3 linked regions of the Arabidopsis thaliana genome follow. The protein of the gene in region 2 interacts with the protein of the main gene of each other region in a biochemical or structural test. Each region holds a gene or a part of one and is shown on either strand. Other genes may lie near its edges. The genes, in order: CDT1B, ABAP1 and CDT1A.

What was found.
Region 1: the proteins of ABAP1 (region 2) and CDT1B form a complex in vitro, tested with the Arabidopsis thaliana proteins (one study listed by BioGRID).
Region 3: the proteins of ABAP1 (region 2) and CDT1A form a complex in vitro, tested with the Arabidopsis thaliana proteins (one study listed by BioGRID).

What each region holds. Positions count from the first base shown.
Region 1 is NC_003074.8:20,249,631-20,259,727, forward strand, and holds CDT1B (CDT1-like protein B), read left to right. Parts: upstream 1-2,181; 5' UTR 2,182-2,254; coding exon 2,255-2,400; intron 2,401-2,488; coding exon 2,489-2,608; intron 2,609-2,757; coding exon 2,758-2,989; intron 2,990-3,088; coding exon 3,089-3,721; intron 3,722-3,837; coding exon 3,838-3,994; intron 3,995-4,083; coding exon 4,084-4,174; intron 4,175-4,319; coding exon 4,320-4,401; 3' UTR 4,402-4,693; downstream 4,694-10,097. Other genes in the region: PHT1;7 (phosphate transporter 1;7), read right to left, coding at 1-440; AMP1 (Peptidase M28 family protein), read right to left, coding at 5,222-5,386, 5,467-5,607, 5,695-5,808, 5,885-5,973, 6,090-6,173, 6,276-6,363, 6,439-6,501, 6,599-6,751 and 2 more; AT3G54730 (transcription repressor), read left to right, coding at 9,629-10,097. UniProt on the Arabidopsis thaliana protein: Member of the pre-replication complex. Regulates endoreduplication. Involved in the coordination of cell and plastid division.
Region 2 is NC_003076.8:4,138,291-4,149,891, forward strand, and holds ABAP1 (ARMADILLO BTB protein 1), read left to right. Parts: upstream 1-4,619; 5' UTR 4,620-4,667; coding exon 4,668-5,001; intron 5,002-5,241; coding exon 5,242-5,399; intron 5,400-5,567; coding exon 5,568-5,740; intron 5,741-5,820; coding exon 5,821-5,941; intron 5,942-6,016; coding exon 6,017-6,091; intron 6,092-6,170; coding exon 6,171-6,265; intron 6,266-6,366; coding exon 6,367-6,442; intron 6,443-6,583; coding exon 6,584-6,691; intron 6,692-6,814; coding exon 6,815-6,943; intron 6,944-7,037; coding exon 7,038-7,106; intron 7,107-7,185; coding exon 7,186-7,245; intron 7,246-7,329; coding exon 7,330-7,453; intron 7,454-7,542; coding exon 7,543-7,682; intron 7,683-7,769; coding exon 7,770-7,833; intron 7,834-7,917; coding exon 7,918-7,997; intron 7,998-8,073; coding exon 8,074-8,256; intron 8,257-8,348; coding exon 8,349-8,473; intron 8,474-8,562; coding exon 8,563-8,662; 3' UTR 8,663-8,850; downstream 8,851-11,601. Other genes in the region: 5-FCL (5-formyltetrahydrofolate cycloligase), read right to left, coding at 1-95, 175-421; AT5G13070 (MSF1-like family protein), read left to right, coding at 9,926-10,213, 10,509-10,772. UniProt on the Arabidopsis thaliana protein: May act as a substrate-specific adapter of an E3 ubiquitin-protein ligase complex (CUL3-RBX1-BTB) which mediates the ubiquitination and subsequent proteasomal degradation of target proteins.
Region 3 is NC_003071.7:13,324,746-13,335,255, forward strand, and holds CDT1A (CDT1-like protein A), read left to right. Parts: upstream 1-4,116; 5' UTR 4,117-4,291; coding exon 4,292-4,632; intron 4,633-4,711; coding exon 4,712-4,831; intron 4,832-5,159; coding exon 5,160-5,394; intron 5,395-5,478; coding exon 5,479-6,120; intron 6,121-6,246; coding exon 6,247-6,448; intron 6,449-6,542; coding exon 6,543-6,633; intron 6,634-6,714; coding exon 6,715-6,799; 3' UTR 6,800-7,086; downstream 7,087-10,510. Other genes in the region: APG9 (autophagy 9 (APG9)), read right to left, coding at 1-123, 546-866, 968-1,548. UniProt on the Arabidopsis thaliana protein: Member of the pre-replication complex. Component of the plastid division machinery. Promotes polyloidization and regulates endoreduplication. Involved in the coordination of cell and plastid division.

The sequences.
Region 1 (10,097 bases), on a different chromosome or scaffold from region 2:
AACGGATAATCACCACCAATGCCGAAACCAAGCCAGAACCGGAAGAAACATAGTGTAGTCATCACTGTTTTTGGGTTACTCCCAAAGGATAGACCCGAAGCGATGGAACAAAGAACCATGACCATGAGGGTCATACCGTAAACTTTTTTCCTCCCAAGCTTGTCACCGAGCCAGCCAAAGAAGAGCTGGCCTGCGAGTGTACCGCAGAAGGCGACTCCATTAACAGCGGCTGAGACGTTTGGTGGCAGCGTTCCTGGCTTCTCTGAGCCGTCCACGTGATAGTAAATACGGCCAAGAAGCTTTGTGACGAGTGAGATACAAAAAAGGTCGTAAGCGTCGGTGAAGAATCCCATTCCGGCGATTATAATCGCCGTGAAATGGTACCATTGCGTTTTGGCGACGTCGAGTGCGTTTAGCACGTTTAGTTGATCTCCTGCCATTGCTCTCTTTCTCTTTTCCTCTGCGTTAATATTAAGTAACACATATTAAGTAATCAGTATCAAATTCATATACATAAGCTGGTTTCAGACACGTTTTATATGCAGAAAATAAACTATAGTAAAATTTTAATCTATAATCATCAAAAAGGTTTAAAAACTCGTCAAATTCATCAATTTTTATATCTTTTTGGCGTAAGTATTTGTAAAGGTTGACTTGACGCGTGGGAAATGAAAAACGGGACACGAAGTAAGATGGTGACGCACACCGACAAAAGATTTGATCATATTCCATAATGTACAGTTCAATGACAGTCAAAACTTTCCTTTAAATCACAAAATATTTCAGACCACTTATCTTGTTTTTGTTCCAAGAATGTGCCAAAATAAACTGATCCAAGAAAGAAAGTTGTAAACGAATTAAGTTTCAATCTCAGAACTTCAACAACAAAAAAGCTGTATAATCATAGTTTACTGAACAATTTTGTAAAAGACGATTTGAGTTTTAGCTTCCACATACATATTGTCGTCTATCAAAACATTGATCAGGTATCATAGAAAATGTTTCTTAGGAAACTACTCTATTTAATAGACATAACACAAACACATGCTACACAACAGACACAAAAGCTATATAATTTATAAACAACACTAACCAGACGCTTGCATAACCTCATTTCTCATTCAACAACAAGTCATAATAAAAGTTAATAAAAGATTCAATAGCACATAGTTATGAAGAAGACATTAACTTACAGAAAGTTTTTTTTGTTTTTTTGCTTACTTTCTCGCAAACAATCTCTAATATGGGATTGTCTTAAAGAAAGAAAAAAGAAGAAGAAGAGAAGAGTATTAGTTTGTTTGTTTGTTGTTTCTTCAGAAACTGTAAGAGAGAAAGAAAGAAGAAATGGTGTTGTGAAAATGAAAAAGAGGCAGCGTCGGGAACGGCTACTTATACGTAATCATATTTCTGTTTTTGTTTTGACATATTCTTGTGGTATATTCTTCTGACAACGACGTCGCTTTTATTTCTTCTATTTGACTACTTCTCCTCCACCTTATTTTTACTTCTTTTAGGAGACACTATTGGTTCTGTTTTGCTGTTAATTTTTTTTCTGTTTTGGAAATTGTTTTACTGTCTATTCGAATTCTTAAGACTTACGGTTACAAGAAGTCGTTTTTAAGTAATAATTTCGAATATTCTTTGGGGAAAAAATAAGATTCAGACTTCAGACACATGATGAGCTGTTATTTTTATTTTTTTGGTAATAAGTGCAGAATTTGCAAGATATTATTTTGCCATAAAGAGTAGAAAATTGGAAATTGATTCGTTTTAACCCCAGTCTTCTGTGTTTTCTTACATACATTATTTTGTATAACCGTTTTTTAAAAACGTTGAATTTCCCAGAAGTATTTGTAAATATAGTAAAATTCATATTATAAACTAAAGAAGAAAATGATGACAAAATAATAAATAAATTCAGTGAAATTTAAAATAAAAATGTAAAAAAACTTTAACACTTTAAAAATTCAGTGTTATTTGACACAAAATCTTCTATCAATAGGAATACAAATTGTTTTTTTTTCTTTGATCGTTCATAAAACGACGTAGTACCAATTTATGGTTAAGAAAAATAGCGGGAACCAACGTTTAGAATCGGTTTGAGTGACGTGGCAAATATGGGCCCACAGCTATAGATTGCCTTCTTCTTCTTCCACCTCTTGACCCTTCCTTTAATGAGAGCTCAAAACCCTAATTTCTATTAGCCGTTACGCTCTCTAACTTCACATCACTTCCCTAATCTCTCTTTTCAGCAATGAGCTCGTCGTCTAAAATTGATTCAGAGAAGCCAGTTATGGTTTCCGAGTCACTATTTTCTACCAAGACTCCTATCAAAACCGTTAAAAGGCAGATCTTTTCTTCGTCCCCAAAACCTGAATCTGTTATAAAATTGCCCGAAAGGTGAGATTGATTGATTGATTTGTTCATACACTTTTCTCAAATTTGGACTATTCTTTCAATTTTGTTGATTTTTTTATTGGCATTACAGGTTCGAGATTTTGGAGGAATTTTTCAATGGTTTGGATACTGCAATTAGGCTGCTTAAATTAAAGGGTTCGTCAACGACATACGCTAATATATGTCCCAAGATCGAGTATCTTACTAATCGGTAAAGTCATTGACTTTCACGCTTCTTGTTTAAACGGATTCTGTTGAATCTTGAGAGTTTAAAGGATTAAACTTTTTGATGCATATGATCAATCGTGTGTGTGTGTGTGTTGTTTGATTGTATTTGCTTAATGTTGTTTGGGTCTACAGGATCTTCTCGTATGATCATTTGGCTCAGATGAAGCATATTTATCCGGAAGCTATTGAACTAAAGAGAGTTTTGAAGTTTGTTGAAGACACTTGTTGTATGAAACCTAGGCTTCATATTAAATTAAATACCGATGCAATTGTAGTTGAGGATACCATTTGTGGAACTAAATACATGGAACTTAGAAAGGTGTTTCACTCAAAGCTTGTAGATTTTCGCAAAGCTCATCCTAAGGTACATTATTAGGCTTATCTAATCTATTAATTAGTTGTAGCTTTTTGAATAATGCTTTTATATCTGATGGATTCTCCATCTATTGTTTTCTGTATGCAGGACGAAATTCCGAAAGAACTGCTTCCTGAACCATTCAATTCTCCTCAAAGGGATAGTTATTCAGGTATAGTAAGCGTAGGCTTAGGAGAACCTAAACTTGAAGTTGGAGGGTTTGATGTTCATATGGAGGAGATAGAGCAAGAAGAACAAGATGTTAACAAAGTCATTCCTGATTCTACTTTGTCACACATAGAATCAAGAATAGTTGAAACCCCAGTCAAAGATTTATCCACTCCCTCCAAAGACTTGTCCACGCCAATCCGGCTCATGAGTGCTACACCGACGTTGCAGCTATCTAAAAGATGTATTGAGTTGACTCCAGAGGGTGGTGATGATAACTCTCTTAGATCAACAAATAGTCTAGCAAGGGGTCCATCTCGCAGTCTGAATTTTGATACTTTTGAGGAAGATGCAATTGAGAAAGATGATATTGGTAACGAATCTGATGATAAAGGAATCAACTATGAAGAAGATGGCCTTCTCCAGTCAGTAAAAGGTCCATCTCGCAGTTTGAATTTTGACACTCTTGAGGAAGAAACAATTGTGAAAGATGACATTAGTAACGAATCTGGTGATGAAAAAAGCAACTATGAAGGTGATAATGCTTCTGATGATGATAGCCTCCTTCAGTCAGTAAGTGATGCTTTTTCCTGCAACAATTTTGCTTTCACATTGTTTCCGGATATATTCGTTTTCAGTTGCAAACAGACATCCTTACTTACCATTGTGTGTGTGTTTGTGTCTTGCAGATGATAGAGAGACCAAAGACTGAACCCGAGAAGCACAATTTGCCACAGCTTGTTAATTTGATTCATAGAGTGTTTCACTCAACAAATCGGACAGTCATCACGAAGGAGGAGCTTCTTTACAAGATTATTGCAAACCAAATCAATATAACTGATAGAAGTAGGGACAGTTAATATTGAATGTTTGATAATTTCCCTGCCTTTTCTTCCTTGACAGGCTCACAGTTTCTTTCTTACTTGCATTGCCAGGGGAAGTGGAAGAACAATTAAGTCTGATGTTGCAATTGGTCCCGGATTGGATATCTGAAACAAAAGCATCTTCTGGGGATCTTCTTGTTCGGTGAGTATGTTCCACCAAAAATGATTATGATTTTCTTTATTTGGCTCTAAGTTTCACAAATGAAACAAAAAAATACATTTTGTATTGAAAATATCTAATTTGCTTCTTGAGGCTCTAATACTGGTATATCTTTTGCTTTTTGCAGCATCAATAAAATGTCGACTGCCGAAACAGTACGTGCAAGACTTGAAGAAGCAACTTCACATGACATTTCACTTATCTACTGAAAAACCATAAAACTGAAACTTTTTTTTGTGTTTTCATCCTCTTCACCAATTCAGTTATCATTATTCTTCACAAATATCTTCTTTCTAAGCTGGTCCAACCTATAAACTTGTAACATTCGTTTTACATAATTCGAGAATAATCAGGAGACAAAACACCATTTGATGATTATTAATTCTACTACATGCAGAAGAACTGTATTTGTTGTTAACTGTGGTCTGTGGATACCAATTTAAGAAGCTCTTGCTACAGAGAAAAATGTGTAAGACTCAGATTGAGAATAAGGTTTGGCAAAGGAACAAGATTCGCTAGGTCTTCGTCGAATCGACAAATTTTGAAAAGAGTAGTACTAAAGCAAAAGAACAAAACCAAAGGGAAACACAGTCATCACTCTCCAATCATATGACATCTTAGAAGATAGATTGAGAAGTGTTTGAATGTAAAGGTAAATGAACCATACACTTTTGAAAGAAAAGATTCTAGCTCATCTTAAAATAATTAGATTGTTAAAAGGATTAAACATTTGAAACCGAAAAGCATACTCTAAAAATAAAGATAGTGATTGTTCTTTCTTTCTATATTACTCGAAGAAAGTATTTGTCCTTTGCAATGATGTTTAAGATGTTGATATCATACCCAAGGTTACAGTATAAATTAGTTTTATTAACCCAAAAAAAGAATTAAAAAAAAATGTTAGTCTTGAATATGATTAGATTATAGTGTTTGTTTCATAAATGGTTATGAAAATTAGTTCATAAGACGTTATTCTTCTACAATCTATAGTCACAATATATACACAAAAGAGAACTCTTTCAGATTTTCTCATGTGAAACCTCCTTTAAGAGCTTTGCTTGCTCTCTGAATCGCTCTTGCGACTCTCCATATCTCGTGCTCAATTATTCCCTCTGATGCGTTCATCGCAATGGCATCTGCTATTCCCGGGAAGAATCCTAGCTTGCTCTCTGGCTCAGCCGCCGGTCCATACACCTATGCATAAAACACAAACAAGGTCTCATGAGGTTTGCAAAATTGGTGAAAATCTGACTGAATAAAAAAGTTTTACTCACAAGATGCTTGAACCATTCCTTCCCTTTGATCCCTTCTGCATCCAAAAACCCTCTTTCTACAAGCATCAACCTGTCATTTAGCTCTCTTCTCTTCGCCGCTGCTGCTACATCATTTTTGCTATATGATTTTCCCTTTAACTTCTGCAAATCAATCACCAAAACATGTATAGGTGAGACAAAGAAGCAAAAGATTGAGGTTATACGTTAATTAGCAAAACCATTAGAAACCTTTGCTTCATCTGCGGCTTCTTTGGCAACCAAAGAGAACTCTTGTATCGCCATGCTTAAGGGATTTACAGAGACTTTCCCTTCTAAGAGCTTGCTCAGTTTATCTCTATGTGCCTGAATCATTACACAAAACATAAACTCAGTTTTCCTACTATTCTACGTATAAAAGGTGTGAGTAAAAGAAATCTACCTGCAATTGGTCTGCATAAGAGATGTAATCGAATGGTATGAGTGGCTCATCAGCCAAGAGAATTCCTAAAAGTCCCCAAATTCCAGCCACTGATAAATATAGAAAGCAAAGAAGAGAGAGTGAATTCTCTTCATAACATCCATGAAAAACAGAACAAATAACTAAAAGATAATAATAGATCAAAAGAGAGAAGTGAAATCTTTACTAGCAACATGACGGTGAAACAATGGATCTGCGTTGTGGATCATCCAATCATAGGAGTCAAATGCAGTGTGATAGACAGGATAATCTGAAAGAAAGGATAAACAACATACATTATTGGTATTACTTGCATTAAAACATCACATTATAGAATATTTTGCAAGACTTAAGGAATCATGTTCTCATTGACCTGCTCCATAGTACATGTCTATAGACGGTATCCCGGCATGATGAAGAAAACCGGAAAAATCAGAATCTACTCTACTTAGCCTCTGAATCTGCAGTTCATTAAAACATTACATAGTTTTACATTACAAAGACAATGTATGAGCTCTTTTGAATAGTCTACTCACAATGTTATTTTGAGACTTAAATGTCTCTTCCACTGTCAAGCCTACTGCATCAGGATCCTGTACCTGACCACGCATAGATGAATACGAGAGACTAAGACATTTCCTACGAGTATAAGTTTTCAACAACGCTTGAGAATGCCCCGGTTATTAGTATTCTTACCAGCTTCAAGACATCGACAAGAAGACCGTCTAATTGAGGAGTTGCACCAGCAAAAAAACCAGAGCCTTGGACTGCACAATCTACATTAAGATAAGCAACAGCACTTGCACCTAAGTTAAGAACATTTTCTTCAATCCATTCAGTTGATCCAATCTATACAACAAAAAAGAGAACACAAGTAATTTAGTGAAGCATCATATATAGATTCAACTTTTCGAAGTTACTAATTTACTAACCATTCCAAATTCTTCTGCATCCCAACTACAAAGGAGAATGGTCCTACGTGGTCTCCAACCAGATTTAAGCAAAAGAGCAAATCGTCGACTAATGTCAAGTAAAGCAGAAGTTCCACTGTTTGGATCAACAGCTCCATATGTCCATGCATCTCTATGGTTCCCAAGTATCACATACCTATCCGCTTCTTCACTCCCTCTTATTGTAACCACAACATTGTTAATTTTCTTCATTTTCATCTCCCCCTACAATTTAAAGAAGTAACACACACAAGAAGTAACGAAAATTAATCACATAATTAAGAAATATAACGGAAAATTACAAAAGTCAAACCAAAGAAAACATAACGGAAATGCAAAATTCTAGTTAACTAACCTGAAACGTCATGTTAATAACCATCCGTCCAGGGCCAACCCGTTGACCCGGTCCGACACGACCCGAATTCCGCCACTCCAACGGAGCTCTAGCACCGCCCAGAGAAGCCAAAATGATCTCAGCATTACGAAGAGACAAAGGCAAAGATGGGATTTTGGGAAATCTCCGAGTGACCAATTCGTCATCCAAGCTCAGTTTTTCTCCTCCGACAACTCCGGGCCAACCCGGGCTAACCGGATCTCCGATTCCTCTCATAACCGTACCTCTCTCAATCCCGCCAAATCCACCACCGTCATTCTCGGCGTATATTAGCACTCCCAGCGCACCTTTAGCTTCTGCTATTTTCACAATTGCTCCTCTTCCCAAGTTTTCACCTTTCCTCGCTAAAACCACACACCCTTTAACGCTCACACCAATAGACTCAAGCGCATGATAGTCTCTCTCCTCGCCGTGATTCACGAAAACCACGTTACCTTGCGCCGACCCAGATGGAGAATAAGCGTGGTAAGGCCTAACGACCGGAGAGTCTCCGGGAACGTCGTTTAAGTCAAACTCAAGAGTCGTCGTGTTGCTAAAACTTGCCGTGACGGAGATGTGCGTAGGATAAGATAAGAGAGCTTCGTATTCGGCGACATGGGTCTCAAGTCCGAGGCTTTGGAAATGGTTAAAGACGTAGTGAAGTGTGTCTAAAGAGGGTTTAGTTCCGGCGAGGTGAGGATGACGGGTCAATTCACGGAGGTAAGAGGAGATGGTGGCGTTAGAAGCAGAGGAGAGGAAGAGGCGGCGGAGACGAAGGGCATTATAGGCATTTCGAGAAAATAGAAGAGGAGGAGTAACGGCGTCTGGATGATGGAGAGTGTAGAAAGTGGCGACGAAAAGAACGATGACGAAGAGGAAAGAACAGAGAGGCGGCGGTTGTCGGAAAGGGATTATAGATATTCCGGTAACGGTGGGTCTGGTGGTGAGAGGTTGTGACATTGCAGAGAGAGAGAGAGAGTAAATTGTTTTAGTAAGTATAGTGGCTGATGAGCCAAAGTATTTATTATGAAATAATCTTCAGTCTCATTTTTACGTTTTTGTCTTCTTTGTCTTTATGAGTATTTTTGTCTTGGTCAAAACTCTGTTTATTAATCTCTTTTTCATCAACCTCCGAGAAATAATAACAAAGACTAATTCTTTGTGTAATTACGAGAAACTAGAATTTCAACAGAGTCAGCAATCTAAGAAACTAGAATTTGAAAACCTTTTTCCCCCACTAAATTACTGAGCTTAGTGGAATGATGAAAAGCTGCGATATTGACGAACCAAAAATGAAAATGTGTATTGTTTGATTGAGTAGTAGTGGGTGGCCAAAATACTATTTTTCTTCGTTTGAGTATCATTTTCAGTTTGTTTTAATTCGTTTTTATATCACTCGATGATGTATTGGGTCGTATTTGACATATTCCATTTTAGATTTATCATAATTAAACATTAGCATATCACTCGATCGTGATATATATTCTCCATTGTGATTATCATATGTTTTCCCTCATTGTCATTAATTATTTAAAGTGAAGGCAGCGTTGAAGGACAAGAGGAGACACGAGACTGAGAACGGTGTTGGGACTTGGGACATCGAGATCGATAATTTTATCAATCTCGTGGAGGTATCCTCCAAACATGAATTTAATTATTTTTCGTCCAAAGCTATATATATATATGCATGCATTGATGAACTTCAAGTCCAGAACTTGTTACGTTTCGTTTTGCATGATGTACACATATCCAGTTTTTTTGAAGAAAATAGAATTGGATTTACATTAGAAACTACCAACTATTTGAACAAATGATGAGCACGCAATAAAAATGATAACCATGAAAAGCTTTTGTCTTTATGCATTTGATTCATTTGGTCGGACCTATTGTCTGTATGCATACTTACATAATAGTACATTATAATCCACTCAGAATTGACTAGAAAGAAAAAAAATGCTTTATAAAAAAATGGAATTATCTCTTATCTATTTTTATTATTCACTATAGATTTTTTGTTGTCGCCTAATTCAATACAGACTATAATTTGTTCAAATGACCCAAATAAAAATTTTGGTTTGTCAGTTTTGGTTCCTTCTATGTTTTAGGGACACAGATAAACTTTAGCAGGAGTATCTAAGTATAACCCCATCCATAAGATAATTTACATCTAGTCGTCGCCTATGCTCCATATATTTTCACTATGAAAATAAGATCTTAAATTTTTTAAATGTACTTCTTCTCAAAAGAGTGGGAATTTCATGGAATGATTGAGGTAATTATAAAAAAATCCTTTTTCTCTCTCAACTTGACGACTAGGGTTTCTTCTTCTCCTTGCCGCCGTTGGTGTGGCCTCTCGCCCACCGGCGAGAATCTTCCTCTTTCTCCCTCCTCTTCCTTTCTTCTATGGCTTTAGTGATGCTTGCTCGGGCTCCTGCTCCACCTTTGCTCCTCCCTTCTCCGAATCCGCCGCCGTGTGCTCTACCGCAAGATTTGACCAGTTTGGTCTCTCCTTCTGAACCTCCCGACCCTCCAGACCCACCAGACTATCTCGTTGGAGCTTCCAACTCCTTTCTCTCGATTTTGTTGTTGAGGTCTTCAGATCTAGGATCAGATCTTGTTCAGGCTTTGAGCCCTCTAGATCTGGGTTTTGCTTTACGATCTATTACTGCTGTGTGCAGTTCGTGGTACCAAGTATTTCCTCTCGCTTGTTTGGAGCTTTGGTTCTCTATTCCACACCTCTCTCATCCTCTAGTCACTCTATCAAAAGGTTTTGTCTCTCTGAAAGGTAGTAATTTCTTTGAATTTTTTACCTTCTTTTGGAACATGCCTTCGTTTATACTTCAGTTCCCTCACCATGAGGATGTGATGATTT
Region 2 (11,601 bases):
GACTTCATTGAGAGATTTGCAGCTAATGTAAGCACACAATCCCTTACATGATTTGAACCAGGGAGCTTCAAGAACAGTCTTCTGAATTGCCTCATCTACAATCAAGGCAACCTGAGATTAGTGTTGTTATTGAAAACAGAACAAAAAAAAGAAAGGACAAAAAAAAGATTGAACCTTGTTGGGTTCGGAGAGAAGGGTCCATGGCTTTTAGGGATTTGCGGACAGTGGAGCGCACGACCCGCTTCTGCTTGAAAATGGAATCGAGTTCCTCTTGGTTTTTGCTGGTGGTGCTCATGGCGACGATGGGTCTAGTAGCTGGTGATAATCTGAAAACGGGTCGGGTCGGGATCTTGGGGAAGAAGAAGATTGGTGATCTTCGTAGTGCTGTCGTGGTGATACAAAAGACGCGAGCTCCAATCATTACAAGTTCCCGTTTTTTTTTTGTTCTTTAAGAAGAAAAAAAAACTGCAGGGAAATTATTCCAAACCATAAACGACAAAATGTGAACCTAATTGCTAAAGGATTACTAATAGTTTCATAAAATGAAGACTAATGTTGTTAATCCAGTGTGGAAAAGGAATATATATGAACATTAGAACAGGAATTTAGTAAAAGTAGCCTAAACAATATCAATAGTGTAGTGTGTGGCTCATATATCCAAGCATGAAATTGCAAAATGTGCAAGCTTCAAAAGATTGTTCTTTCTCTAAACATGAAATTGTTGCTAAGTTGTATGAGAGCATTGCTAGCCTGAAATGACCATGAAAGTAAAAATGGGAAATCCATAAACTGCAGATATAATTAATCTTCCTAGAAAACATATTTCCTTAACATATCAAAAAAGCTTGTGAACAAGATTTTCTTACAAGTCACGAAACATGTGCTTGCCAAAATGTGATTCATAAAAATTTACGACTCCTCTCTACTGTATATTCTCTCAAGTAATGAACTAAAGTTTGCCAACCTTAACTTGTACATGTATTGGGCCTTTGGTTAGATTAAATGGCTTGAGGTTCTGAACTAATATTTGCCTATCTAAATTTTGTAGATATATTTGCCTCATGGGTGAATGCCAATAGCAAGGCGGGTATAGGTTGGGTGTTAACTGAAGCTCAAGGCTCATAGCTTCTCAAGGGCTCTTCCTCTATAGAGCCCATTGCTACAGCTATTGAAGCGAAGGCTAAAGCCTTAACTGAAGCAGTTCTCAACTATCATTATGTGTTTTTTTGTGGCGATTCTAGTATCATCTACAAATATCTTGAGAAAGTCATGACACAAGAAATCGCGCTACCTGGTAACAAAGAGATCCATAACTTCCTAGAAGACCTTCTAGCATTGGTGCCAAAAGATTTCAGCTTTAAATGTATTGGCAGAGATCATAATCATGTAGCTCATATATTAGCGAAAAATGCTAGAATGCCGGAAACACCATATATAATCTGCTGGGTTAACCAAAGCATGTAGCAAACTCTTCTAATATTAATAAGATATTTGGCCGTAAAAAAGTGATATATTGACATTTGGTTAGATTAAATGGGCTTAGGATCTGGTCTAAAGTTTGCGCTTTATTATTCTGATTACCTAAACACCAACGTTTGTAACAAAATTTACTCATTAACAATTACAGTACCAGTTCAAAGAGTCTATTCATTGATAGTTTAGTCGTGTTCATCTGCTGATTTTGTTAAACAATTCTCTAGATGACGACTTAATAAGAGACCAAGCTGATGTGTTAACACATCCAATTTTTGTGGTAATCGAAAATAATTTTAATAATAACACGTTGGATTTTAATAAACAATTTTTCTCGATCGTAGATTTATAGTTTAGGCATTTTGGATTCACAATTGAATAAGAACACGTATTGAGACAAATCAAATCAAAAAACCATTTAAACTGTTTTTCATATGTGACCCTTTTGAACCTTTTTTTTTAATGATCAGGTATAGGCCATACATCCCCCTAGCCTGGAACCATAAAATTTTATATCAATTAAACTATTTATATTTGTTGAGCTTTCATTTTTGAACATTGATTTTATATATTTAGTGTTAGAAGAGTTATTAATGTTCTCTTATGTTCTTGTATCATTGGATAATATTAGTATTATGAAAATGACGTGATTTAATGTGTATAAATTGTTCACTAATGAGTAATGCATAGGTAAGTATTTTTTTATTGCCGAGATAAATATTTTTTATGTTGCCAAATAAACAATAAATTAGATATCAAAATACAAAAAAAGTTAGAACAGAGTTTATAGAAAAACTTATACAAATAAGCCAACCTAGTTTTACTAGATTCAAGCTCAATAACCACACAAAGAATGAGAGTAATCTCAACAACAAGTGGAGAAGGAACAAGTTCACTATTGAGGTATAGCGCAATGTTAAGTTAATCTAAGGAGAAAATTATTGCATTGGCAATTAACATCCATGTTTATTTTGAGAAATGCAACTAATTACCATTTGTTAGATTAAAATTATAAGTAGTAAATGGCTAGGGATTTCATGATAATCCATGAATAACAATTGAGTGCATAATAGTTTTTCAAATATTTCACAAATTTGAAATTTCAGAGGAAATAAGATCTTGATTCTCATATTTGATTTCGACATTGCATCGAGGTTAGTTAGACTTCTTTTGAACTAACAATGATAAGTAGCTTGTGAATCAATGAGGCAAACGCAAAATCAACAATTGGGTAAACTAGAAATTTGTTTTATATGAATTCTATTAATAAATTTACAAAAACACGTAAAACAATCTTTGATATATTTGCAGATCTAAATTGAATATGTGATCATTAAAATCAAGATATCTGAATCCAAAACAGTTTTTCGATAAATTAAAAATTTTACCATCCGAAAACTAGATTATATTTATAAAAAAATATTCAATTTGCGCTGCAATTGGACTGGATATCAAAAGAAAATTTTCAATTTCACCATATGTGTATGATTTTTTTTTTTTTTTTTTAGCGTTTTTAACTTTTTTTTTGTGTTTTAAAGATTACTCAAATTTGCGCTCCAAGTGGAACGAGGGCGCTCCAAGTGGAACGAGGGAACAAATTTAATTTTGCCTCCTAAATGAAAACCAAATTTTAAAGAAGCTACAAATACGCTAGAATTCAGGAATCACCATATGTAATCTCCTGGGTTAACCAAAGCATGTAGCAAACTCTTCTTATATTAATAAGATATTTGGCCGTAAAGAAAAAAAGATATATTGACCTTTGGTTAGATTAAATGGGCTTATGGTTTGATCTAAAGTTTGCGGTAATCACAAATAACTTTAATAATAACACGTTGGATTTTAATAAACAATTTTTCTCCATCGTAGATTTCTAAGTTTCTAATATAGATCTTTTGGATTCACCATTGAATAAGAACACATATTCAGACAAATCAAACCAAAAACCAATTAGACTGTTTTTTCATATGTGCCTCTTTTGAACCTTTTTTCTTAAATGAACAAGTCTAGGCTATACATCCCCTAACCAGGGACCATAAAATTTTATTTCAATTAGACTATTTATCTTGTTGAGCTTTCATTTTTGAACATTGATTTTATATATTTAGTGTTAGAAGAGTTACTAATGTTCTCTTATGTTTTTGTATCATTGGATAATATCAATATTATGAAAGATGACGTGATTGAATGTGTACAAATTGTACTAATGAGTATTGCCTAAGTAAACTTTTTTTTTATTGTCGATGTAAGTATTTTTTATATTGACAGATAAACAACAAATTAAATATCAAAATAATAAAAAATGTTAGAAAAGAGTTTATAGAAAAACTTATACCAATAAGTCAACCTAGCGTTACTAGATTCAAGCTCATTAGCAACATAAAGAATGGGAGCAATCTCAACAACAAGCGAAAAAGAAACAAGTCCACTTTTGAGGTAAAAGAATTTCATAATAATCCATGAAAATAACAATTGAATACATCATAGTTTTCAAATATTTCGCAAATTTGAAATTTCAGAGCAAATTTGAAACACACAGCAACAACAAAAAAAAGATTTTGGTTCTCATATTTGATTTTGACATTACATCGAGGTTAGTTAGACTTCTTTTAGACTAACAATGATAAATAACTTGTGAATTAAATGCAAGATCAACAGTTAGATGAACTAGAAATTTGGCATGAAACCATCAAAAAGAGATACTTAACTATATCAATAAAACGTGTTGATTACGTTATCATCTAGTTTATATGAATTCTATTAATAAATTAACAAAACATGGAAATTTTTTTTTTGATATATTTGTAGATCTATATTGAATATGTGATCATTAAAATCAAGATATCCCAATCCAAAACAATTTTTGGATGAATTAAAAAGTTAATTATCCAAAAGTTAGATTATATTTTTTAGAAAATATATTAAAATTTGTGCTAGGACAATATATCAAAAATAAAATTTTAATTTCACCATATGTGTAGGATTTTTATTTTTAGTTTAGCCTTTTTATTAGTGTTTTAATGAGAAAATAATTTAAAAATCTTTTTGACCAAAAATAACAAAAAAAATGGAAGAAAATAATAAATTCCCTCTGAGTGGAAGGAGGGAAATTTGGCTCCCAAATGAAAAACTAAATTTCAAAACCCCGCCAAATAGGCTTTGGTATTATAAAGAAAACGCTCTCTCCACTCCTGATGATAATCTCAAAATCGTTCAAAGCACCGCTCAAATTCTCCGTCAAATCTTCTACTGCGCCGGTGATATCAAACCATCCGCCAATGGAGAACCATCCCAAGCGCCAGCGAACAACACGCCTCGCCGCCAGAAACTTGAAGCGAAAACTCAGTCACAACACAGATGGAGCGCCAATCGTCACACAACTTATTGATATTGACGACGAACCCATAGATCTCGTCGTCGCGATTCGCCGTCACGTCGAGGTTCTTAACTCCAGCTTCTCAGATCCTGATTTTGATCACGAAGCTGTCAAAGAAGCTGCTGCTGATATCGCCGATTTGGCTAAAATCGGTACCGTACTTCTTCATTTTACCTCTAATCGGCGGCTAAAACTGAAAACGTGTTACTCTCTTTGCTTGTTCGTCCTTGAGTTGCTCAATTTTGAGTCAATTCTCGACAACGGATTCACTCTAATTTTGGATTCTACATAGAAATTGTTTTGTTCTTGCCCATAGTACTTTGATTTTCAGTAAGGCGAGACCTAGAAGTGTTTTTTTTTGGCTTAATTGATTTTCTCATCTGTTTATATAGATGAAAATGTTGAAATCATCGTGGAAAATGGAGCGATCCCTGCTTTGGTGAGATATCTGGAATCCCCTTTGGTAGTTTGTGGCAATGTTCCCAAATCTTGCGAGCACAAGCTAGAGAAAGATTGTGCTCTTGCTCTTGGACTTATTGCTGCGATTCAGGTAACCCTTCTTTCGCTGTTTTTGATGAAATTGTGGATGAGATGTTGTGTAATTTCAATCTCTGTTGGAAGTTAACATTAGAATTTTTGAAATGGGCGATTTGCAACTATCTTAGATGTACTTAGCTTGGATTGATGTATATTGATATTAGCTTTCTCTGTTAAATAGCCTGGTTACCAGCAGCTTATTGTGGATGCTGGAGCCATAGTTCCCACCGTGAAGTTGTTGAAGAGACGTGGGGAATGTGGTGAATGCATGTTTGCTAATGCTGTTATTAGGAGAGCCGCTGATATAATTACTAACATTGCTCATGACAATCCAAGGATTAAAACAAATATAAGGTACTAATATCTCATGATCCTTACTGGTTATGGTGATGACTAGCTGTTTTCACTTGACACCTTTTAAAAATGCTTTACAGGGTTGAAGGTGGCATTGCACCACTTGTTGAGCTTCTCAATTTTCCGGATGTTAAAGTACAGAGGGCTGCGGCAGGGGCCTTGCGAACAGTTTCATTTAGAAACGACGAGAACAAGAGTCAAGTATGTTTTTACTATGATTATGTTTTGTTTAGGCTTATGAAAGGCATGATTCTCACATAATGCGCAACTATGTAGATTGTGGAGTTGAATGCTTTACCCACACTTGTATTGATGCTTCAATCACAAGATTCTACCGTTCACGGGGAAGCGGTTAGTTCTTCATCTTGCTTTAGATCGTTGCAATTGGTTTGATTTGTTCAGTTCTTTCTAATGTACTATGGACTTTCAGATTGGGGCAATTGGAAATCTTGTCCACTCATCTCCTGACATCAAGAAAGAGGTTATCCGTGCTGGTGCCTTACAACCAGTAATTGGTCTACTTAGGTATGCTTATTTTACTTTCTTTCTACTTCTGCTGGAACAGATGCTAGCTCTTGAAATTTTGAATTATGTTTTGTAACTGTTTTTCATGATATCTGCTACAGCTCCACTTGTTTGGAAACACAGAGAGAAGCAGCATTATTAATAGGTCAATTTGCTGCGCCTGATTCAGATTGCAAGGTATGGGATTGTCTCTTTCTTGTTGTACTATAATATTAGCACATGTTATGTTCACTCAAACTCGTTTTTTTCTACGATATAACTGAATGGATTCTAACTAGAGAGAACATATTTAACATAACTGGCAACATGATCATGCAGGTGCACATTGCCCAGAGAGGTGCCATTACACCACTGATTAAGATGCTTGAATCATCAGATGAGCAGGTCGTGGAAATGTCAGCTTTTGCTCTTGGTCGTTTGGCTCAGGTATATATGTTTTTGAATTAGCATGTGAATGTTTTGTTGCTTTTAATATCTGACTCTTTGTAGATGATTGTTAAATCAGACCTTTTGTGATAAAACAAAAATTGTATGTTTTGAATGTTGCAGGACGCACACAATCAAGCTGGCATTGCACATAGAGGAGGCATCATCTCACTACTAAATCTTCTTGATGTGAAAACGGGGTCTGTGCAACACAATGCTGCCTTTGCTTTGTATGGCCTTGCAGATAACGAGGTAAACTCGACTCGCAATGAATAGTATTATATGTAGCTATACTCTTTGCTTACTTGACATACCGTGAGTACTTAATTAATTTTCCCGTCAATAGGAAAACGTAGCAGATTTCATAAAGGCTGGAGGTATTCAAAAGCTTCAAGATGACAACTTTACTGTCCAAGTATGCATTTGACTGCTTATATTTGCAAAACCAATCTAATAAGAATTTCAAACTTTAATTGTAAGTAATCTATTTGCAGCCGACTAGAGATTGTGTGGTTCGGACATTGAAGAGGCTGCAGAACAAGATTCACGGACCTGTGAGTACCTACTTCTGTTAGAACTTCTGGGTCTCAATTATGTTTTGCGATGTTTCTAATCCCCTGATGTCTCAACCTTCTTAGGTACTAAACCAATTATTGTACCTAATGAGAACCGCTGAGAAGACAGTACAAATACGAATTGCTCTGGCTCTTGCACATCTTTGTGACCCTAAAGATGGAAAATTAATCTTTATTGATAACAATGGTAAGCATCTCATATATTCAGAATTTCATTTTCTAATAAAATTTTCTGTGGTTTTTTGTTTCTGATCTATTGAAGTATTACTTATGCAGGAGTAGAGTTTTTGTTGGAACTTCTCTATTTCTCAAGCAATAAGCAGCAGAGATATAGTTCAAGTGCTTTATACGAGTTAGCTAAAAAAGCTACATCCTTTGCACCAGAGGATTCAGCTCCTTGTTCACCCACACAACAGGTAAAAAAATCTCCATTTCTTCTTTCAAGCATCAAATAATTTGTGATTTGAGGTCTTGACTTGTTGTTATTGATTATTATACTGAAGGTGTTTCTGGGTGAAAAATTCGTGAACAACCCCACTATGTCCGATGTCACATTCCTAATTGATGGTATAACATTTAACCCCATTTATGATTCTATAGAATCCACCGGTGAGAACATTCTTTAATGAGTATATCCATGTCCTATGTTAGGTAAACAATTCTATGCACACAAGATTGGCTTGGTAGCTTCCTCTGATATATTTCGTGCAATGTTTGATGGTCTTTACAAGGTAAGCTACTGAATCACGATTGTGGTAACTTATCTCATCAGAATATCATCTAACTAACTTTGAGAACTGGATATAGGAACGCAATGCTCAAAATGTGGAGATACCAAATATAAGATGGGAAGTGTTTGAGCTTATGATGAAGTTCATTTACTCAGGAAGAATTAACATCGCCAAACATTTGGCAAAAGATCTGCTTGTAGCAGCTGATCAATATCTTCTCGAAGGTCTCAAACGTCAATGTGAATACACCATTGCACAGGTAACAAACGTAAAACCAAGGTCTTAATTTTTCTGCACAGAAGGACTAATCTCTCTTGTGTGTTTTTAATAAGATGGACTTTACTTGTGCAGGAAATCTGTCTGGATAACATACCAGAGATGTATGAGTTAGCAGATACATTCAATGCTTCAGCCTTAAGAAGAGCTTGCACGCTCTTTGTTCTTGAGCATTTCACTAAGCTCAGCTCTCAATTATGGTATGCAAAATCATTACATCGTTATAATTTTTTTGGGAAATTTAACTTCTATTTCACTCATCAAGTTTCGATTGATTTACCTAATGCAGGTTTGCAAAGTTTGTCAAGCAAATTATACCTGAAATTCGGAGTTACATGACTGATATTCTCACACGGCCGGTCGAAGCTAGTCCCCCAACCGTCGTATAAAACATATAGGATTCCGGTTTGAAGTAGTTGATTTACTTTACTTAGGTAAAATTGTTTTTCTTTTGATAACCGGTCTGTATTTTGTTACTGCTATATCTCTAATATAAACTGCTTAACTCAATAATACCAAAGAGGCTCTCAAACATAGCTTATAAAATGACTTTTTTTACAAATGGCTGAGAACATCAGACTACAAAATACAAATGGTCGAGAAAACATGGCTCTAAAGCGGCATAGAAAGTTGCTTAGGAAAAATCAAACTCAAAATGTGTAACATTAACTGCAACATGAATACTTCTTGTTACCTTCAGATCTTGAATGCCTTGAAACAGTAACACAAATGTCTGGTTTTTGTCCCTTGTGTTGAAAATGTTTGAACCAAACTTAACAAAAACCACATTGGACATCCATGCTTTTGCCTAATCCTTTTTTTGCTGCATGCATTTGCATAATTTGCATAATCTAAGAAAATTAGTATAATTACTATGTATATAAGAAAATGAGAAAAACATTTAAGGAAAAAAAGTCACAGAGTATGACAATAAATTATGAGTTTTTCAACACAATTAAAGCCCAATAATGAATGAGGTCTCTGAATAGGGCTTAATAAAGGCCCAAAAACTAGTGCCGTCTACGAGAGAGACTGAGAGAGAGAAACATCGTGGTTCGTAAACATAAGCCGCAAGTCTCTCTCTATAAACACCGCCATTGATTAGCTTCCTCTCTATTTTTACTCTCGTCACGTCCTCCACTTTTGGGTCATTATTACTTCTCGAAGCTCACCAAGATCTTGAATTTGCCGACCTCTCAAGGTACTTCTCTCCTCCCAATTTCCACAATCTCCTTTAAATCTCGATTAGCAATCGAGTCAACTGTTAAATTACGTTTCTTTGTTCTTCTGTTTCCTTCAATTTTGTTAGCACAGTACCAAAAACTGCCATTCTTCTTTCGTGTTTCTTAAGTGCGTTTTGATTCACGCCGATGTCGGAATCGTTGAAGAATATTCCCGAATTTGAAATTAGAATTTCCGTAATTAGATCAATTTTATTTACGAAATCAATGTTTAAATTCTCCAAATTGTTAGTGTTCTTCGTCTTTGTTTGTTGAAATTTATCAATCCTCATAGCTAAAAACAATGTTTTGCAGACCAAATCATGTGGTTAGATCCTTATCTGAGAAATCTTTTATTTGTTGTAGTAAAATATCTCGTTTACACTTTCACCTATTCACACAAAACATTCATGATTTGGGTTTAGATTCTTGATGGTAAAAGCATACAGACAAGAGCATGTTTACAAGCATCCGTGGGAGCGGGTGAGTGCTGCTTCATGGAGGAAGTTTGCAGACCCTGAAAACAAACGCATCCTTTCTCACATCCTTGAAGTCGATACCTTGAACAGGAAACTCGACACTGAGACCGGGAAACTCCACACCACGCGTGCTCTCACCATCCATGCTCCTGGTCCATGGTTTCTCCATAGGATCATTGGTCAGGACATCTGTCACTGTGTTGAATCAACAGTTGTAGATGGCAAATCACGTTCTATGCAGGTATCATCGGCTTTTCTCTATGCTCTGATTGGGATAGAGTATTTATTAGTAGATACAAGGCGTAAACAACCGTTGATGAGTGATTAGATTAGCTTATATAGCAACCAAGGATTTGTTCTAGTAAGAAGTTGCCTAATTTGTAAGATAAGGAACTTGTTTTAGTTTGCTGTGATCTGTTTCATTGGAACTTGATTAGCATGCCATGAAGTATCTCTTAGTAGTTGGAAGTCATAAACAACAATCCATAGATGAGTGTTTGGATTAGCTAAGATGTCTCAACTATTTCGTTTTCCAGCTAACAACAAAGAACATTAGTCTCAAAAAGTTCATTGAAGTGGAGGAGAGGATAAGATATGATCCGCATCCAGATAATCCATCAGCCTGGACTGTTTGTAGCCAGGAGACAAGCATTCGGATCAAACCCTTGTCGGCTCTGGCCTCAATGGCTGAGAAGGTTGAACAGAAGTGCGCAGAGAAATTCATGCAGAATAGCGCTAAAGGAAGAGAGGTTATGGAGAGGATTTGTAAGTATATGGAAGCAGAATCCGCTCGGATCTAAAGATCAAAACTTCTTAGATTCCAGTATCTTCTTGGTTTGTGATTCTTGAATGTTTTGTAAGTCAAGAGAGCTACGTTTTTGGAGCATGGTTATAATAAGTTTATGAAACAGTTTAGATCAAATTGGTGTTTGTTTCAGTAACTCCTGTTTTGTGTTAGCAACTGAAAGTTGAATTGTGAAGCTTTTATCCAAATTTTTGAATCCAAATCCAAACGGTTTGCATCTTGATATTGATAATAAAGATTTCAGGCTCAATTACATACATTTACACGAAGATGGTTGGTTACATGCAAAAAAGACACTGGATTACTCAAGAACTGATGCGACGGTGCTGAAGAACAATGACTCTCTTGTCACTGTTTCAAGAGCATCATTGCTGATAGCAGAATTAACTAGCAAAATGGGTTTATTTTGTTACTGATTTAATTTTAAGAATTGTAAAGTCATTTTCTCCGTTGATATTTTTTACTTTCTTGTCACTTACCTAGCTAACTTTCAGATTCCCATACCTCATGTAGTTTTCTTACAACTTTCGGTGGGTAGTTAGAGACTATGACATATCTTATTAACGCCTAACCATTAGTATTACTATTTATCAGATAACCGTAATAATATGTTTAGCAACAGTTGTTTGAAATTTAATATGTGCATTATATGCTGCTATCAGTAATAGACTACACTCAATTTTTGAAATTTTTATTAAAAATTATTAGGATACAAACTTCAGCTGATCATCAGATCATGCATGGTTTTTCTTTTCAACACACGTAAAATGTAACATTCTAATTTTTGTAAATAATTTACAACATGAGCTCTAAGAATTATAGGC
Region 3 (10,510 bases), on a different chromosome or scaffold from region 2:
AAATACACCAACATAAAGATGACAAGAAACGGTGACAGCAGAAGCATAGCAAGCCCAACCACAAATAGTCGTTTCTTCAGTGTTGTAGGATTTGAAACAAAGTCCCTTCTAACACGAAAATTGCTGCAGAATGAAAACGCCTGAATTAGACAAAACGGACAATTCTTAGCATGTGCAAGGAATTTTTCATTCTATGGCCTTACTCTTCACCGTAGTACTAGTAGTTAACTACGAATATGAAATATAACATACACGCACTTCGGCCACTCCCATGTAGGTTCTAACAGGACAATCTTATTAACTTACGCAATTTTTCACTGACGTAATATATATACAGGGAGAAAACCTCTAACAGGACAATCTTATTAACTTGAAAAGATCACTACAATCTGACCAAGAAAAAGCAAATCATCAAAACTGAAACTTCCATATGCATCACAAACTCTCCATTTATCACTATAGCAGTTCATAAAATCCTATATCTACAATGTTATTAGAAAGCAGTTTTCAGATTAGATCAAAGATTAGCGTGGAGAATAGCATACCAGTCAAACATGCTCTGCAATATGCACCAGTTAAGGGTCCACTCAAGGGTCTTTGTCAATACAAGGTGATACTGTGTCCCATCTGGTGCGGATTTGACTGCTGGACCAGCACCAGGGATCCAATGGGAAATTGGGAAAGAAAGCAAACCTTTGTTGAGCATTCCAATCAAGTAGTTTTCTTTCCGCATAAGGCGCATAACCATATCATGAGCAGAAAGATCCTTAACCACACAAAGGCATTGTGAGCTTTGTAACTGAACAACCTTCTCAAGGACTGTTGCCCATGGCATAGTAAGGATTTCATTGTCTGTGACATGGAGACTGCAAATTTACAACAAAAAGAAAGAAAATCAATTATGACCTAAAATGCATGTTTTGCTCTAGCAATAACTATTCATAGCATGTTGCAACTTCCAACTTACTTGTTGTAATAAAAGTGCCGAAAGTCCAAAGTATCTTTCAACTGGGCAAAAAACCTTAAGAAGCAGAAGAGCCAGTACACAGAGAAGAGGGCCAAATATCCAACAATTATAGCAGTTGTGAGCGTGAAAGGGGATAAAGGATGCGGATGGATAGCTTCTTTGACAAGATCACATGGTTTAGTTCCTGATTCAACTGCATCCATTCCACATTTTGCATTCTGAAGACCATTCCAATCAACATACAGCAAGAAAAACCCAGAGAAGCATATGATGAAGCCCAGACTTAGAAGCTCAACAGCCCACTTTACTATAATACACCAAAGTCCTTTGTCTCTGTAGTAGCTGTAGAGCCTTTCGACAAAAAGATCCAAATCAGCAATTGGTTGAACATTTAAACTCTCTCCATTAAGAAGTCCCGATGGGCTCTCACTACCAGGACTTGGTATTCCTCCGTAGTTAGATAGCTCAATCTCGTGTGACTCATTATGAAGCAATCCAGTAGTCAAAGACGATGATGATTCACCACGTTGCCATTTAAAAAAGTTACGTACATTTGGACCCTTATGCCCACTGCTCATCATTTGTAAACACAGACGATTGGCCAAAACAGCCGGTCCATTCCCTGCTTACCACGCGGAAATTTGAAGAAAGTGTAGTGCGCAATGAGAATGCAACTACAAATCCTGCATCAAACATGAATAACATAAAGCATCCACAATGCAAATCACCTAATGACAGAGATAATTTATGTATGCAAACAAAAAAGTGCCACTAAAATGTTCAAGCTAGAAGCACATACAATGAATATACTAACCAATGAGACACTAAGGCAAATCAAATCCTTAAACGCAGAAAGACAAACCAAGGATACGGAACTCGTGGCATAACCTGCTAAAGAAATGTTTCTATATCTGTTTTCCACCATGATGGATATAAACCAGACCCACCTATCCTTTGCTTGACACTCAAAAGACTATTCGATTTCAAACACTTCCTTTCTTTTTCAACAATAGCATTCATGCACAAGCAGAATCTTTGGACAATGCACTAAATGCCTAGCACTCTGATGACAATTGATGGTGCAGAGAAAGCGAAGACGAAGTAATCTATACTCAATCAAGAGGCTGACACAAGATTCACGCAACCTTTGCACAACCAATAGACCTTGATCAAAGTCAATTACCTAAAACCAACTCTATTTTTCACAAGAAGACGAAGCAAAAACGGCGAATTCCTTCCCAATAGAACAAGGGGTTTATCTACTTTTAACAGGGAAATGATCAGGAGCAATACGATTCTAAATTGAAACCTCAAAAACCCTTAAGCTAACACTATAATCTCCTCCAACCTTAAATCACAGTGCGATTAATCAAAAAAAATCAACCTTTCTCGATAACAGCAGATGAGAAAATCAAAACTTACCAGAGACCCACGAAAGGAACAGCAATTAGAAAGCGAAGGTCTATAAGCAGCTAGGAAGATATAATTGTCTTAATATCCGAAGCTTTAGAGAAGGAGGAATCAAATACAGAGGCTATGGGCAATGGAAAATTCGATGAAGAAGTTGAAAAGACAAGAATTTGATCGACGAATTTAGGGGAGAAAAGCAAAAGAAGAAGACGAAGAGAATTGGGTTTGCGTGGAAGAAAAGAGGAGTGATAAAATATTGATGCTTTGGAGTTTGGAGTACTAGTTTTCAATTTTCGATTTGGGCTTTTCTTCTTCCTCTTCTCTTCTCTTCTCTTCTATACAACATTACTTAACCAAAGAAACGTGATCACGAGTTCTCTTCCTCTTCTATGATTTTGGTTTTACTTTGATCTTTGGTTAAAAAGGTAATCTAACATTTATTAGCTTGAATCCAAAAAAGTCTTTGCACACACAAAAAAAAAAGTCTTGAAGCCAAAAAATTGTAATTTTTCTTTAATGTGATATATTGAATTTTATTTTAACAACTTGTATAATGGGCCGATTGTTTTGAGTGGGCACCGGCCCAGATTCTAAACAGACCCAAAAAAACAATAGTTAAGATGTACATTATATTACTAACTTTAAAATTGAGTTTTGAAAATATGATAGTGAGTCAGTTGACATAAATTTTGGATCTAGATCAGATTCTTGGTATCAAGATCAATATTTAGTCTCAGAGCATAATATAATACAAATTGATACATCTAGCTCCTTTAATTTTTTAAATGTTAATCAAAAATAAAAACTCATGAAAGTTATAATTATTTTATAACGGCATTATATTTTTTTTTGTCAACTAGACGATAAACCGATAAAAGAAATAAAAATTGGTATTTATTATTATAATCATCAAAACTTCATATATTGACATAAAACAACAAATTTAAATAAGAGTATATAGAGAAATAATAATATCGGAAAGTATAACATTTAATAAAAAGAAAAGTTGAAGTTTTGTTAGTAAGAAAATAGTAGTAATGACAATTGAAAAGAATCTCATAATCATTGAAAATTTATTGAATTCTTTGATTTAGAATAGGGATGTGGTAATATTCAATGTTTAATATTTATGTGTTTTCTTTTAATAATCAATATTTATTTCATGATTTTATATAGATTTCCTCATTAGCAAATATAATATAAAATAAAATGGAAACGACGAACCTTAATAAGAAAAAGTTCAAGTATATACAGAAATAACAATACCGGAAAAATATAACATTTAATAGACAAATAAAATTAAAGTTTTGTTAGTAAAATATTAGAAATGACAATAGAAAAAATATCATAATCATTTAAAAACTGTTTAATTCTATGATTTAAAATAAGGATGTGGTAAATATATTCAAAGTTTAGAAAGAGAAACATAGAAAACATAAACTAAACCATTGATTATATTTGATTTGCTGGGCTAACTGTTTTATCTTAATATTTTACTGTTGATAAGATTCCTTATGATGAGATTATCTTTGATTTTTCAAAAAAACTATAAATACTGAACAAGCAGCATAAACATTGCACGACGACCTTATATAAATCATGTTCATATAAAAAAAATCACAAGTTGAAAAAAAGAAATCTGGTCTCTTTGGTTTGCATCTATTAGATTCGTTCAGAGACAGCAATTCATAATGGGCCTAATTAATGGGCTTCTTCGTAGATAAGTGTTTTCGCGGGAAGCAACGGGTTAATAGGCGCGGGAGGTATACGTGGCTTTGGTACACGTAGGATTGCGCGCCAAAGACCTAAATAAATCTAAACCCTTCTTCTTCTTCCGTCGTCTTCATCGTCTTCATCTATCTCCTCCACTATCTCCTCTCTGCATCTGACACTCTATAGACATTGTTGATAAAAATGAGTACACCAGGCTCTTCTAGATCCATTCCATTCAAATCGAAGAAACGATTGGTGATGGATTCGCCGTCTTCGAAATCTCAAACCGGGAATCCAAATCCGTCTTCTGTAGCATTGCCTACGCCGGAAAAACCACTTGAGAACATGCTTAGTAGATCGAGAAACCGATCTGTGGCTTTATCAGTGAAAGAAATTCGTCAAGCCGCTGGATCTCGTCGCAGATCTGAAGATCCGGTTGCTTCATCTGCCAAAAGCAGGCTCTTTTTCGATTCATCATCATCTTCTCCTTCAAAACGTAAAAGCTCTAACAAAAATGCAGAGAAAGAGAAACTTCCGGAGAAGTAAGTTTTAATCTCTAGGGTTTATAAAAAGTTTCAATTTTTTCCCCTTTTTAACTGATTAGGATTTGGATTTGTGCAGGTACGAGAATCTGGGAAAGTTCTTTGAAGCATTGGATAATTCGATGTTGTTATCGAAATTAAGAGGTTCTAAGCCAACATTCTCCAACATTTCTAAACAAATCGAGCATTTAACCGAGAGGTAGTCTTCCTGACATTTCAATTTGAATCGTGTTTGTGATTGTCACTGATTGGATCTGATCTGAATAAATAAGCCAAATTTGGTTATTGCCTTTAAACTTTATAGAGTCGATAAGACAAATTAATAATCTAGATCGTGTTTATGGGATCTGATCTGAATAAATAAACCATTTTGATCTTTGCTTTTTATACTTTATAGGTTCGATGAGACAAAAGAATACTTTAGATCTGGGTTTTATAGATTTCTCCGATAACTTTTCTAGATTTTAGATATTCACGAGTCTGTTTCTGGTGTGTTTATATAATTCTTGTGTGGATGTATATTTCAGGAGGTTTTGTTATAGTCACTTGGCTCAAATAAAGCATATATTGCCTGAAGCGATTGAGATTAAGAGAGTATTGATACATGATGAAACTACTTGCTGTATGAAACCGGACCTTCATGTTACGCTCAATGCCGATGCTGTTGAATACAACGACAAGTCGAAATCGGAAAGTAAGAAAATCGCTCTTCGGAAAGTGTTTCGGGCTAGACTTGCGGATTTTGTTAAAGCTCACCCTCAGGTATAATGCCCTATCTATTTTAGTGATTTTGGAAGTTGCATTGTGATTTTATTCAAGTACTAATGGTGTTATTCTCTGTTTTAGGGTGATGAAGTTCCAGAGGAACCGCTTCCTGAGCCCTTCAATAGAAGGAAACCAGTTGAAAACTCAAATGTTGAAGTCAAGCGTGTTAGTTCTCTCATGGAAGAGATGGCTTCTATTCCAGCATCTAAATTGTTTTCATCTCCCATCACATCAACGCCAGTCAAAACAACTTCAAGTCTGGCTAAACCAACTTCGTCTCAGATTAACATTGCTCCAACTCCAACCAAACCAACTTCAACTCCTGCTAAACAGACTTTGTCTGAGATTAATATATTGCCAACTCCAGTCAAACCAGTGTCAACTCTGGCTAAGTTTCCTTCAACACCGGCGATTATTGACTCAACACCAGTCATTACTGCAACTCCACCTGAATTTGCTTCAACTCCTGCCCGGCTGATGAGTACTTCTCTGGCAGCTCGTCCGCTGAAAAGAAGCAACGGTCATACAAATCCAGATGATATTTCTGCTGACCCACCGACTAAGCTCGTGAGGCGTTCCTTGTCTCTGAACTTTGATTCTTATCCTGAGGATGAGAGAACTATGGATTTCACAGATGATATACCCATTGATCAAGTACCAGAAGAAGATGTATCCAGCGATGATGAAATACTCAGCATACTTCCTGATAAACTTCGACATGCGGTAATACATCTCTATTAGTGATTCCTTTTCTTCTCGTAATTTTGCTTTATACTTTTCAGTTTGAGATTAAGAAGTACAAACTGAGATTGGCTTTACTTACTGAGATTGTTTTTTTGCTCATTTCAGATAAAAGAACAAGAGAGGAAAGCGATTGAGGATCAAAATCCAGCAATCTCTCTGGCAAAAAGAAGGCGAAAGATGATCGCTTGTCTACCTAAACTTTTCAATGTCATCCATTACTTAATTCAATCGATAAGGCGTTGGGTTATCACAAAAGAAGAGCTTGTGCACAAGATCATTGCCGGTCACTCTGATATTACTGACAGAAGTAAGCCCTCTAACCACTAAGTATCTCATTATTACTTTTCTTTACATTGTTTGAAAACCATCCTAACTGTTCTTGCCTCACTTACATTTTTCAGAGGAAGTTGAAGAACAACTAATCTTACTGCAAGAAATTGTCCCTGAATGGATGTCTGAGAAAAAATCATCAAGTGGAGATGTTCTAGTATGGTGAGTCTAATATCTCACATATACTCAACTCACTTTTTCTTGGTTTTATGGATCGCTCATGTAAGCAACTTTAATATGCAGCATAAACAAGTTGGCATCTCCTCTAACAATCCGATCACGTCTTGAAGAAGAAAACAAGCAAGAGATGGCTCCACTGCTTTCTTGAGATCGTGGTTCCATCGGCTGCGGTTACTTTGGGTTCTAACTTATTTTTGGACTGCCAAATATGTTATAGTCTATTCATGAGACAGATGTGTAGAGACTACTAAGTTATAAAGTTCCTAAGTAAAGTAAAAGGGTGAAAACAAGTAGATGACAAACTATTTAGGAAGGTGTTTTCATCTTTTTCTGAATTATGACAATGAGGTTATTTCTCTATCAATAAAGAGTAATTTTATGCATTTTGTAACAGAATTCTTTATAGAACAAGACTATAAGGACCGTTGTTGTGTGAAGTATGGAAAGAGATCAGATTTAATCTCCCAACCATGACATATCTAAATCCTTGATGACAATTCTCTTTCTGATTATGTCCCTTTATATTTGATTAAATCCGTTAGACATTTTCATATATGTTAGGCAAATAACCAGTTCCTTTGGATCTAAGTTTAATTTCTCAAGCCACTTTAATACTCCTCTTAGTTCCTCTACCGAAGTTCCAAAGGGTCATTGGCCATTTGGGACTTCGGTTCCGTGAATTAGAAGAAAATTTCTGGTATATTGTGAACCCAATGTTCAATAATATTCAATTTCACAGCTTAAAAATATATTGGTTTATTTGCACAAGAGAAAAAGACAGAATGAAAAAAGAGAGAGAGGTGTGTTTCTGAGAGCATCATTTGGGCCTACTGGGCTTTCACAAAGAAAATCGCGCGAAGTATTAACGGACGGAATTCGGCGGGAGTCCACGTGGCACCATCACAAGTCGGATTCGCGCCAAATAACCTAAAATAAATACTAAACCCTTCATCATCATCATCGTCGTGTCCGATCTCGCTCCTCCACTCTCTCATAAATACTGAGTCTTTTTATCATTAATAGATACATTTTTGTATCAGAAAAGCTTAATAGAACATTGCTAACATATTTCAATCCTAGAAATGATACTTCTCTTTCTAATTATGTTATGTAATTGAAGGAACCTTTGCTGCATTCTCCTTAATCCGTTGAGACTATTTCCTAAATTCCTAAGTGATAATATTAGGACTGTCAATAATTTTTGTTTCAATAGATTTGTATATTGACGACTAATGATTATTGAGTTTCTAGATTAGCAATTAATTCAAGCTATATTGTCACTATTAACAACTATAGGCCGGTCATCTTTATTGACTCTCTAGTCATCTTGTCACAACTTACAAAGCTTCTTCATTTTACTTTATCCATATGCCATCAATACACACGATTTACATCTCTACTATATAATAACCTATGGTAAATGAAATAAGTGAAACTAAAAACAAAAACAACAGATTAAAAAGAGAGCCATCTAAATAATGCATCAAGAAATAAAACTGGAGGATATCACTTTGGTAGTGAGGTAGGTTATGATTTTTCATGGCCATTCCAATGAGCCAAAAAGAATACATCAGAAGAAGAAGAAAAAATGGAATTTTGTATTGAGTGAGATTTCTCTTTTTTTTTTGTTTTCTTTATAAGGACAATAATTATTAGATTCCTTAGATCTTGTATGGACCACAAGTAGTCCCATCATACATTCCTAAGTCTCATTGTTTTCCTTTGAAAAAGCCTTTCCCAAACAGTAATATACTGTACTATATAACAAAAGTATTTTATTAAAGAAGAAAAAATAGAGAGATAAGTTATAAATTAAAATCTCCAAAAAAGAAAAATAAAAAAAAGAGAGACCTTTGCCACTCTTTTAAGCAATTTCTGACCCAATTCCCTTTTTGGAGAAACCTTCAAAACCCTACCTTTGGAATCTATTTTTTAAGATTCGTTTATTTTCTTTCTGGTAAAAAGAATATGGATATCTCACCTTCATTTTATTTCTCTTTGCTATTTTAGAAAAATTAAATTATATTATCTTTGCAGAAATTTAAGTTTTTCTTCTTCTTCTGTAAACTATGTGATATACATATAATTCTTAAACATATGCTTTGGTATTCAGTATTTTACAAAACCAATAGTTAATTTACTATAAAAAAAATTTGAGAGTTTAGTAGAAAAAAATTCGTTTAACTTTACTTTTTTATGAAAATCTAAAATAGATATTCTGTTATAATTGTAACTAATAATAATAAGTTCAAAATGCTACAAAAATGTTTTTGAAAGGGTTCCAAAACCATGCATGTCCATATGGTAAAATATATGTCATACATAGCTAGTCATGTGAGTTCGAAATTACGAAACATTTATTATTGTCAATAACTTTATTATATTGACTCAAATAAGCCAATGCAGAGGAAATTAAGAAGTCTTGTGAAGTATGTTTTTTTTTATAAATAGTATATTGAACATAATTGTTGGGGAAAAAAAAAACAGAATAACAAATCACTTCAAACCAAATGTATTTTTAATTCATAACTAAAAAATAATTAAAAGAATTATTTGCATGGCTTATCAGTTACGGACCAAGTCATTATAGTTCAAACGTTGTCCACTAAAACATATTATCAAAAGCTCTTTCATTTGAAAGACATTGAAACAATTTGATACAGGCATGCTTTGTTCTAATTAATGCCAACTTTCGGAAACATATAGAAATCTATTAGTATAATTATCGGTGGAATAGAAATTTATGAATAATCGACAAAAGTGCAACTGTCTCCCTTTTTTTAAATGTGACTTTTAAAGATAGCTCAGTAATTGTTAAATGTCAAAATATAAACATATTAAAAACAAAGAACTTGCAAAATTTAGGATGATATTGGCTTAAAGGAAATAATCATTAACAGAAGGTAACGACTTCATGAAAACATCTTTAGTTATCTCAAATCTCAATGACTTACTTCAAAGGCGACGATGTCATGAATATTTATTTAACCAAAAATTCTCCATGTATATGTAAGCTAATGGTACAATTTATGTTCAGCTTTCTCTATTCGTGTGTAATCTTAAAACATTGTTTTGAATAATTTTATAATATTTAGAGTTTTAAATTGAAAATTTCTGAAATAAAGTAGGAAAAAAGAATGATTAAAAATGAAGGATAATATATTTATATGGATTATTAATTGAATTACAGCTAAACAAGTTAACAGATAAAAATGATGAAAAGGGGAAAATAGATGTTGAGTTGGTGCGTTGCATTAGAACACATTGATGGAAACAAGTCATGAGAGCATATAATAAGAGCCTCCAGATAGAATATTATGAGCTATCAATTGTAAAACATCATCATTTTTTAATTTCTAAGTGGAACCCAAATCTGATATACATATTTCAAAATACTCTCAACCCTTGGGGTTTTGATGAACTTACCAAATGGTCGACAGAAAACACTTGTGAATTGTTGAGATAAATGTATTTACAAAGATCATCTTTGTAAATGTCAACATCTTAAAAAAAAACTTGGACTAGGAATTGTTTTAGGCCGTCAATTCGAGCCTAACAATTGTTGTTTTTGTTCTTGTTTTTGCAAAGTAATTTTACACTTGAAAAATATCGTTACAAACTATTCACAAATAGTTTAAAATTAGAGATGTTACAATCTAGATTTTAGTTAGTTTTAAAATTTAAAAAGTTACGATTTAAAATATTTTGTATCTATCTAAAACATGTTACCGAGTGGTATAATGTGGTTTGATGCGATTTCAATTTTGGTTATAATTTAACTACCTATCTTTATGTTTCTAAAAAAGTGTTGGTTTGGTATTTTACTTCTTTGGTTTGGATCAGATTCTGTCTCGGTTTA